Linked DNA regions of Xenopus tropicalis. The protein of the gene in region 1 purifies or fractionates together with the protein of each later gene. This does not show direct contact. Links are inferred from orthologs where the notes say so. Each region holds a gene or a part of one and is shown in the gene's direction. Other genes may lie near its edges.

Evidence for each region.
Region 2: the proteins of vesicle-associated membrane protein 5-like (region 1) and stx12 purify together in Homo sapiens (affinity purification with mass spectrometry; 3 studies listed by BioGRID and IntAct, with this or other methods). This does not show direct contact. The link is inferred for Xenopus tropicalis from reciprocal best matches to the Homo sapiens genes VAMP5 and STX12.

What each region holds. Positions count from the first base shown.
Region 1 is NC_030679.2:125,676,307-125,680,635, forward strand, and holds vesicle-associated membrane protein 5-like, read left to right. Parts: upstream 1-1,310; 5' UTR 1,311-1,461; coding exon 1,462-1,593; intron 1,594-1,954; coding exon 1,955-2,092; intron 2,093-3,311; coding exon 3,312-3,491; 3' UTR 3,492-4,002; downstream 4,003-4,329. UniProt on the Homo sapiens protein: May participate in trafficking events that are associated with myogenesis, such as myoblast fusion and/or GLUT4 trafficking.
Region 2 is NC_030678.2:83,638,764-83,643,112, reverse strand, and holds the start of stx12 (syntaxin-12), read left to right. Parts: upstream 1-1,259; 5' UTR 1,260-1,280; coding exon 1,281-1,374; intron 1,375-4,349. UniProt on the Homo sapiens protein: SNARE promoting fusion of transport vesicles with target membranes. Together with SNARE STX6, promotes movement of vesicles from endosomes to the cell membrane, and may therefore function in the endocytic recycling pathway.

The sequences.
Region 1 (4,329 bases):
GGCCCTAAATGAGTAAGTTAACAGGGCTCACCCCTCTAGAGGGCTCTAATTATTAGCCAACCAGTCACCTGGGTCTCAATGGGAGAAGAAATTGGAGCAATCTTATAATTACTGTGGCTAAAGGTGGGAATAGTCAAAAATTAGCGTGGCGGTTAACTATGTCTCGGTTTTTTTATTTCCAGATGTTGGGAGGTATGGGTTTGTGATCTAAAAATCAGTGTAGATTTAATGGTGCATTTTTCTTTTTTTTATTATATGCAGCTTGTAAATTATCAAGCTTTTTATTCAGCTGCTCTTTAGTTTGGATTTTCAGCAGCTATCTGGTTGTTAGGGTCCAAATTACCCTAGCAACTAGGCCAGGGGTGGGCAAACTACGGCCCGCGGGCCACATCCGGCCCCGTGGCCTTTTTAATCCGGCCCGTCGACGATGCCAAGTCTCATCATGCGAGACTTGGTGTCATTGGCGGGCCGGAATTAAACAGACTAAGGGGGCGTAACGCTGGCCTGGCCCTGCCCGCCCTGGCCCGGGGGTAAGTAAATATGGCCCGTGAGCCAAAAAGTTTGCCCACCCCTGAACTAGGCAGTGGTATGAATAAGAGACAGGAATATGAAGTGGAACAGGAATATGAAACATATGAAATAGAAATATGAGGACTTAGAAAGATAAGTAATAAAAAATAACAATTGTTGCATTTAAAAGCTGGAAAGAGTCAGAGGAAGAAAGCAAATAATTCAAAAACTATAAAAAATATTAAATTTGAAGACCATTTGAAAAGTTTGAAATAACTGGCCATTCTATAACATACTAAAAGTTAACCTTAAGGTAAACTACTGCTTTTATTGTATAAAAATGATGAATGTACCAGTGAATTATACTCCTAGATATAGAAGGATTGTGCTTAAAAAAGTTGTGTTTCTGACTGATTTATTGAGAAATTCCCCCAAAACCCCACTAGTCCCGCCCATCTGTGCCACTTCCTGCTGGCTGAATTCTCTGGGTGAGCTGGGGAGCCGGCGGCTCTCAGTACACTGCATTGTAGGATAGGAACCAATCAGCAGCTAGGCTGACCTGATAGGGAACTGAAGCCTTTCTTTGCTTGCGTGAGTGCAGGGCTGTGATTGGCTCTCCCCCTCCTGCTGTGCTTCTGGCAGGGGCTGTTAGGACACGCCCACCCTTCATTTGAAACATGGACAGAGAACTGATAGGATCTATAGGGAGCTCCAATAAAGGGGCCATTTTTACAGAGAGGATTAATGTTTAGCCTAAAGTGAAAAAAGCACCTTATATTATTCATTATTGCCTACAAAATTAGAGGTTTTTTCCGTGTATCCTATATGTCTCCTTTAACAGCCATCAAGTTGCCTGCTATGCACACTTTAATATTTATACAGAATCCTTCAATCGGCATTATGGGCCTTCTTGGAAAATACCGTATTTTACCATCGATCCCGTAGGAGTGGATGATGAGACAATGCTATTCTTTCCTGGAAGGGCCATTACAACAACATCTGTGTTTGGAAAAGGAAAACTTTACCGTCACAATACTCAGCCATTTAATGGCATCTCCCACTGACCACCTGACAGGAAATAATGTAGGTTCTACCATAACAGGAAGTAGTGTGTTTGCTGTCCATTGACAACCTAGCGGTGTATGTGTGCCTGTGTTTGTGTGGGAGCACAGTTCCTTATATGAGCCAGAAGGAGGACTTTAGTTGGTAAAATGGGATTATTCCATAGTACATAATACTAGAAAAGTATATTTTTCATGCAAAGCCTTTCTTTATATGAAACATTGGATTACACATTGGCTGTTTTATGTGATATATTTTTACAGAAACCTGCATTGTACAGTTTCCCTTTACTCCCAAAAGGCCAGTGCTCATGTGTGATATAGTTCTATTATCATGGACTTCCTTAGAACCCTCACAGCACTCTCTGTTTTTCCAACCCCAGGCGAGCAACAACCTGGAATTATGTCAGCGCAACGCAGAGGAGGTGAAAGTCTTGATGAAAAAGAATGTTGACACGGTCATTGAGAGAGAAGGGAAGATCTCTGACCTAGAGGATCGATCCAATGATTTGCTTAACATGGTATGTCATGGGACAGGCCGTACGTACATGCAGTGGGCATACACACTTCTCTTTCCTGTGTGCAGCCTGCTGTGGCACACTTTTCATTCCCTTGCTTCACGTTTTGTATCCAGTTTCCCTCCCTTTGTATGCTGAGCGCCTTCCACACCCCTGTCATTATTCATACAGAACTGAGCTTGCTGCCACCCACCCCACTGTTAGTGTTTTGCTCCCCTAACATCAACATAGCTGGGCAGATGGGCATAACATTTGGAATTACAGTTCTCTGATGCCCAGCCATTACCTGCTTGCTTCAGAGCAGTGCAAAGCAGCCATGAAAGCACAGGTGGGAGCCAACTCGCAGCAGGAGTGCTTTGCTTGCAGGTGGAAAATAAACAAAAAATCTCATGTTAAACAACTCATGTAATAGATACACAATTTGAAGGAAACCAAATGTATTATGTATATTTATAATAGCTAAGGTTACTGTCTTGTCACTGTCTAGGACTGCCATGCAACTAGGGAAACAGGCCCATAGTGTCTTGTTCTGCCTTCAGTTCCCAGGCGTAACTCTGTGGCCCCAAAACTGTGTTCCTTTCATTTCCTGATGTGGATATAGTTCATCTGTCAGGTTCATTTCAGTTAAAAAGCCTATTCTGATTTGGCCAGTGCAAGCAGGTCTGGACTGGGGTTCCAAATAGACCCTGACGTTTCAAGTACACAGAGACCCAAACAGCCCCCCCCCAGCCCAATAAATAGTGACTGTCTATGGAATCTTACAGCAGCCCCTCTGGCATTTGCCTGAATCCACAGATTGTCAGTCCGGGCCTGAGTGCAAGGCTCTTCTATTGGAGACCCATTTGGTGTGCCCGGGAACTGGTATGATTAGTTTTGATTGAGCAATGTAGTACATTCCTTTGGCAGCAGGCCAGTCATACCCCCTTGAGAAACTGCAAGAGTGGGGGGAGACAGACGCTCCATGCAAGGAAAAAAGGAAAACATTGAGTAGGTGGGAGTGGGAAGGAAAGAACTTTATAACGTTGGTACAACGGGAGTGTGCATGTTGCAGACCTTTCATATTCCCACCTACCTTATTTAACATGCAAGATCAACACACAGCAGCGTGCATGTCTGCTTTCTGAATTTCACTAGAAAATGACCAGACTGTGGATGACAAGGATATAATATATCTGAATATTATAGAAATATTTAAAGTAGCAACTTTTTTTTTTGCACTTAGGCCTGCAACTTCCAGAAAACGGCCCAGACAGTGGAACGCCATACCCGGTGGCAGAAGTGGCGCTGGTACATCATTGCTGGAGGAATTGTAATTGTAATTGTGATCATCCTCATTGTCATTATTGTGTTGTTCACACTGCCAAACAATGAGACCCCTAATAATGCCAGTGGAGTGCATTAGATTAAAGGAAGGGTGTGCACAGGCCCAGACTGGCAATCTGTGGATTTTGGCGAATGCCAGATGGGGCTGCTGTAAGATGCCATAGACAGTCACTATTTATTGGGCTGGGGGGGGGGGGGGGCTTTTTGGGCCTCTGTGTACTTGAAATGCCTCGGCCTACTTTGAATCCCAATCCAGGCCTGGGTGTGCACCACTTACCATAAACTCTTGTAGGGTGATGGACTTTACTGCAAAGCTTCCCCTAAAGATCATAGCTCCTTGTAGCTTGTCTACCTGTACTTACCTGCAGGGTTGTACCCCATTGTTTTTTATTTGCAAAGAGTGTTGGATTACAGTCGTTTTTATTTTGCTGACGGTTGTGTTACAGTCCTTTCTGTTTATCTGCATAGAGACTTGCAGAGCACTGATTCTTTGTAACCCAAGAGCGGCACCGAGACCCTGTCTATGCCTCGAAGATGGAAATAATCCTTCCTTCACAAAAAGCACAATAAAATATAGTTAAACAAATCTATGCCCGCCTATTTCAGTGGGGAGAGGAAAGAGTTTAATGGCCTGGGGGGCAAAAGAACACCAGAGAGAGAATGGGAGCAAAGGTTCGTGGACTGGCAGGTATGCAAAAGAATGTTATTTATTAGGCAAACTATAACAGCAAGGCAGCAGCCCCATGGGAACCCGAGTGTCATAACAAAGATATTAAAATGGGAGATTTATGTAAATAGAAGCTGAGAAGAGGCAGTTGCAGTTATCACACATCCTGTTTTTGTAAGTTTCCTGCTTCTGGTCGCATAGTTCACCGTCTTTCACCTCTTGTTATATCCCCTGGTGAGGGGTGCTCAGG
Region 2 (4,349 bases), on another chromosome or scaffold:
TCAGAAGATTATTTCACCGAGCACTGCACAACAGTACCCCTCTCCCCCTGACGGTGGCTCTGAAAGAGAGGATGATAATGGGATGGGAAAGAGGAGAGCAGTTAAGGGGTCTTTTTTTAAAAATTCCTGGCGCACCTCTGCTAATTCAAACTACCGTATTTCTACCTCCCACACACACAATACTTTCTTAAAGATGATTCAAAATGCAGTGACGCAAAGATTTTTGCGTGGCACAATACTCATCACTTGCCTCTGTAAGAACAGTAATCCCTAACCAGTGGCTTGTGAGCAACATAGTGCTCGCTAACCCTAGATGTCTCTCCAGGGGGTCTTAAAGCAGGTGCTTGTTTTTTAATTTTTGGCTTGAAGGCAATTTTTAGTTGCATAAAAACCAGGTGTACTGCCAAACAGAGCCTCCTGTATGCTGCCAGTCCTCATAGGGGCTACCAAATAACCAATCACAGTTCTTATCTAGCAACCCCCAGAAACATCCATACATAAAACGCTGCTATCCACTGGCACTGATGGACTTACCAAACTGCCCTCCCTCAGCATTCAGAGTTCCCAAGAAGTCCAACAGATATTACACATCGCCATGTCCAGACTGGGAGTCAAAATAGGCCCTGGCATTTCAAGTACACAAGAGGTCCAAACAGCCCTCTACCAGCCCAATAAATATTAACTGTCTATAACATCTTACAGCAGCTCCTCTGGCATTTGCCAGAACCCATAGATTGCCAGTCCCAGCCTACACATCACTCATATATAATTCCTGTATATATCACCTTGCCCTTTAACAGCAGCCTTGAACATACATATCACACACTATGCTTCAACTGCTTACCTGTTGTACAGGTAAACAACATTTTACTAAAGATCACAATACTTGTCCCCCATGTGCACCCAGCATATTTCTCATCTCCCTCCATTAAATCCAAGTACTAGGGGTGTAGGGAAAAAAAAATAATTAGACCCAGCAATTGCTCCAGGACCTGGGATATTAAGTACCCCATCCTCCAAAGGCGCACTTGCTGATTTTTATAAACCAGCAGAATTCTACATTTGCATTCCTTGTTCTCTTTAAAGGAGTGGCAACAACAGCATCTTTTCCAAGCTGTCACGTGGTATCATGACTGGGAGGCGCTTATCGCTGATAGGAGCCTGACAATTCCTACGTGACATCACGGTCACATGGCTATGACATCACGACTTCCTTAGAGTCGCTTCATCCCACCATCTCTTATACTCAGAAAGGAGGACGGGGCCCTAAGAGGAGCAACATGTCTGGGTACATGAAGCAGCAGAGCCGTGCCCGGGACTTCAACAGCATTATTCAGACCTGCAGCGGCAATGTGCAGAGGATCACAAATAACAGTCAGTATCCCCAGTTTTTCTACAGAGCACCGGTCCTATTCCTGTATATATATCCGTGATCGCAGCGAGCTGCACACACCCGCAGTATATAGATGGGGGTACTGGTGGAGATTTGAAGGACGAATTGTTAGCCATTGGCAATGGGAACTTTTGGACAACAGAGATTAACATGTTATATGGGCCCCTTGTATTATGTGTAATTCCCAGGTGCTACACACCCACTGATGTACAGGAAGGGCGGCTATACTGACACAGCTGGAAATAGAGAAAATTATTTATATAGCATTGCATATATGGAGACTGGACAGTTGGCAAATGACAAAAATCAACTAATGTTTCCTTGTGTTGGTTGGTGGGTGGGTGTACAGTACAGCAGCTATCAGCTGGCATGTTCATTGGCAGAGGGGCACAGAGAAGCAGGGGTGACAGGCAGGAAGGGAGCTAAGTGCAGTGGGAAGTCATTTCCTACTGGAGATTCCTGATTGGGTTACTGTTACCAAGAAGTTACTACTGTTAGGCTTGTCACCTGGTTGGGCTCTTGCTGTGGTTAAACTACACATTACAATATTATCCTAAAGGCAGCATTTGTAGAAATGTAGTTCAGCAACCAGTGAAATCAGGCTGAGCAGTTTTACCCTCGCTTACTGAATTTGTGTTGAGTGGGTTACATTCCTGCCTTACTCCATGGGGGTTTTTTGTTCCCCCCTAACTGCCTGATCACTGCTTTGCAAGCTCAGAGAAAATTTTGGGCGTGGGCACAAGCAGGATTCACCAGGTCAGGCAGGGGCCATGAAATTGTAATATTTCCTTCCTCCCAGCATGACAGCAGGATAGGAGTTCATAATGTGTGATTTATCATGTTGAATGAATGAGACTTGGCAGGAAATATGTATTTTCTTGTATATCATTATGTATTAGATTCACAGTATTGACTTCTGCCAATCATTACATACCCCCAGAAGTAAGTAAATAAATAAATATGGAGTCTTGGTACTACTGGCCTCTGTTCTTCAAGTCTATGTGTAGTTTCATTCTTAAACAAGTGTTCAGCTCTTAATTAAAGGATGCCATGGAATAGTAGTAAATACGTCATAAGAGCAATTTGTCACTCCCTCTATTTGGACTAGACATAAGACATTTACTATCCAAACATACCCATTCCTTAACCATCTTAAAGGGGCATCTTTAACAAAATTACACTTTGCCTGTTGGTCATGTTAGGTTTAGTAAAGTAAAGGAATTTGGGGGGAAAATACCTTACATTTTTACTTGTTAAAAATCCTATGTTTCCGCTTCCATTTGAAAGTGAAATCACATGATTAATGTCCTTAGTCTAAGAAGGCAGCAGTCAGTCCTGTCTTGCTTTATAGCTGAGAATCTAGTTATCTTTATAACAGAACATTCATTGTACTGTGATTCAAGCAGGCTTGGACTGACATGGTATTTTTTTTTAAAAAGGTTTTTTTGAGATGATAGTATCTTAATTATATTCAGTATTTTTAATGAGAAGTGGTAAATGTGCACTCCATGTGAGAGCCTCTAATTAAAAGTGGATATAGCAAGGACGTAATTCATGTAATGAGATTTTTTGTTCATTGTTCACTATGCTGCTGTTTTTCTTTTTGTAATTATAGACTAGCACAGTGCAGTGTTTACAGGAAAATTGCTGCTGTCCTACAAATGACTGTTATTGTATGTTTTGGAATGGCCCAGTTATTCTGCACTGATAACAGCACACTGCTGAGATCTGATAACTGTGTTTTCAGCTTCTCGGTATGCTGTCAAGGTGTGTTGTTGTGTCATACTGATATAAGGTGCACTGTTGTCATGAAGTGCGGTACAGGTTGAAGTTACATAGTCTTTTTCAGATAGGTAATGTTTTATTGGGCATGTTCAGCAAATATAATTTATACAGAGACTTTACAGGTTTTCACAGGAATTTGTTGGTGAAAAAGGTTCCTTCCATAACCTAAAGCTTTAACACTGAAGCCTGGCATCCCCCTACCCCCTTTACTTACCTGTGGCACTTGTCTAGTCAAGGTTGATTTAAACAGTACTTCCAGCCTTGTCGGGTCAGTACCACACCCAAAGCCCAACATCTTCAAAACAGCAGCCATTTCTAAAAAAGAAGTTGAAGTCTGGTACAGGTAAATAAAGAAGGTGCAATATTTTAGTTGTAACTCATTAGAGATGGCCTAGAAAAGGAATATCAATAATAAATATAAATTTCTATTAAAAAAAAAAAAAAACACAGGTACAGGTATGCGACCTATTATCCAGAATGCTAGGGACCTGAGATTTTATGGATAAGGGATCTTTCTGTAATTTGGATCTCCATAGCTTAAGTCTACTAAAAGATTATTTAAAAATTAACCTCAATAAGCTTGTTTTGCTACCAATAAGGATTAATTTTATCTTAGTTGGAATCAAGTTCAAGTAACTGTTCTGTTATTACAGAGAAAAAGGACATTTAAAAAAAATATTAGAATTATAGGCTTATAATGGAGTCAGTGGGAGTCGGAACTTCCTGGATAAGGGGTTTCCTGATAACAGATCCCATACCTGTACAGGTTTGGGATCAGTTATCTGGAAGACTTCAGACCTGGGGTTTTCCGGATAAGAAGTCTTCCCATGATACTGATCTCAGTACCTTTTTTAAATTTGTTAAAAGGAAAAAAATAATCTGCTACCAACATGGATTTTACTAATTTAGTTACCATGCAAGTACAAGGTACTGTTTTCTTATTACAGGCAGTATGGCCACTTATGACCCACCCCCATTCTGGTCGAATCATTGGAATACACAAGTACAGGTGATTTTCACAAAGACCACCCTTGAAAATATGCACAAGGATTTCAGATGAGAATCCCATTATAATCGCCAGTAATAGCTTTTCCATATGTATTATGGGGCTATAATATGAGTCTATTTTTACACTCTTTAAAGTGAAGATAAGTATGCTGGTTACAATTTC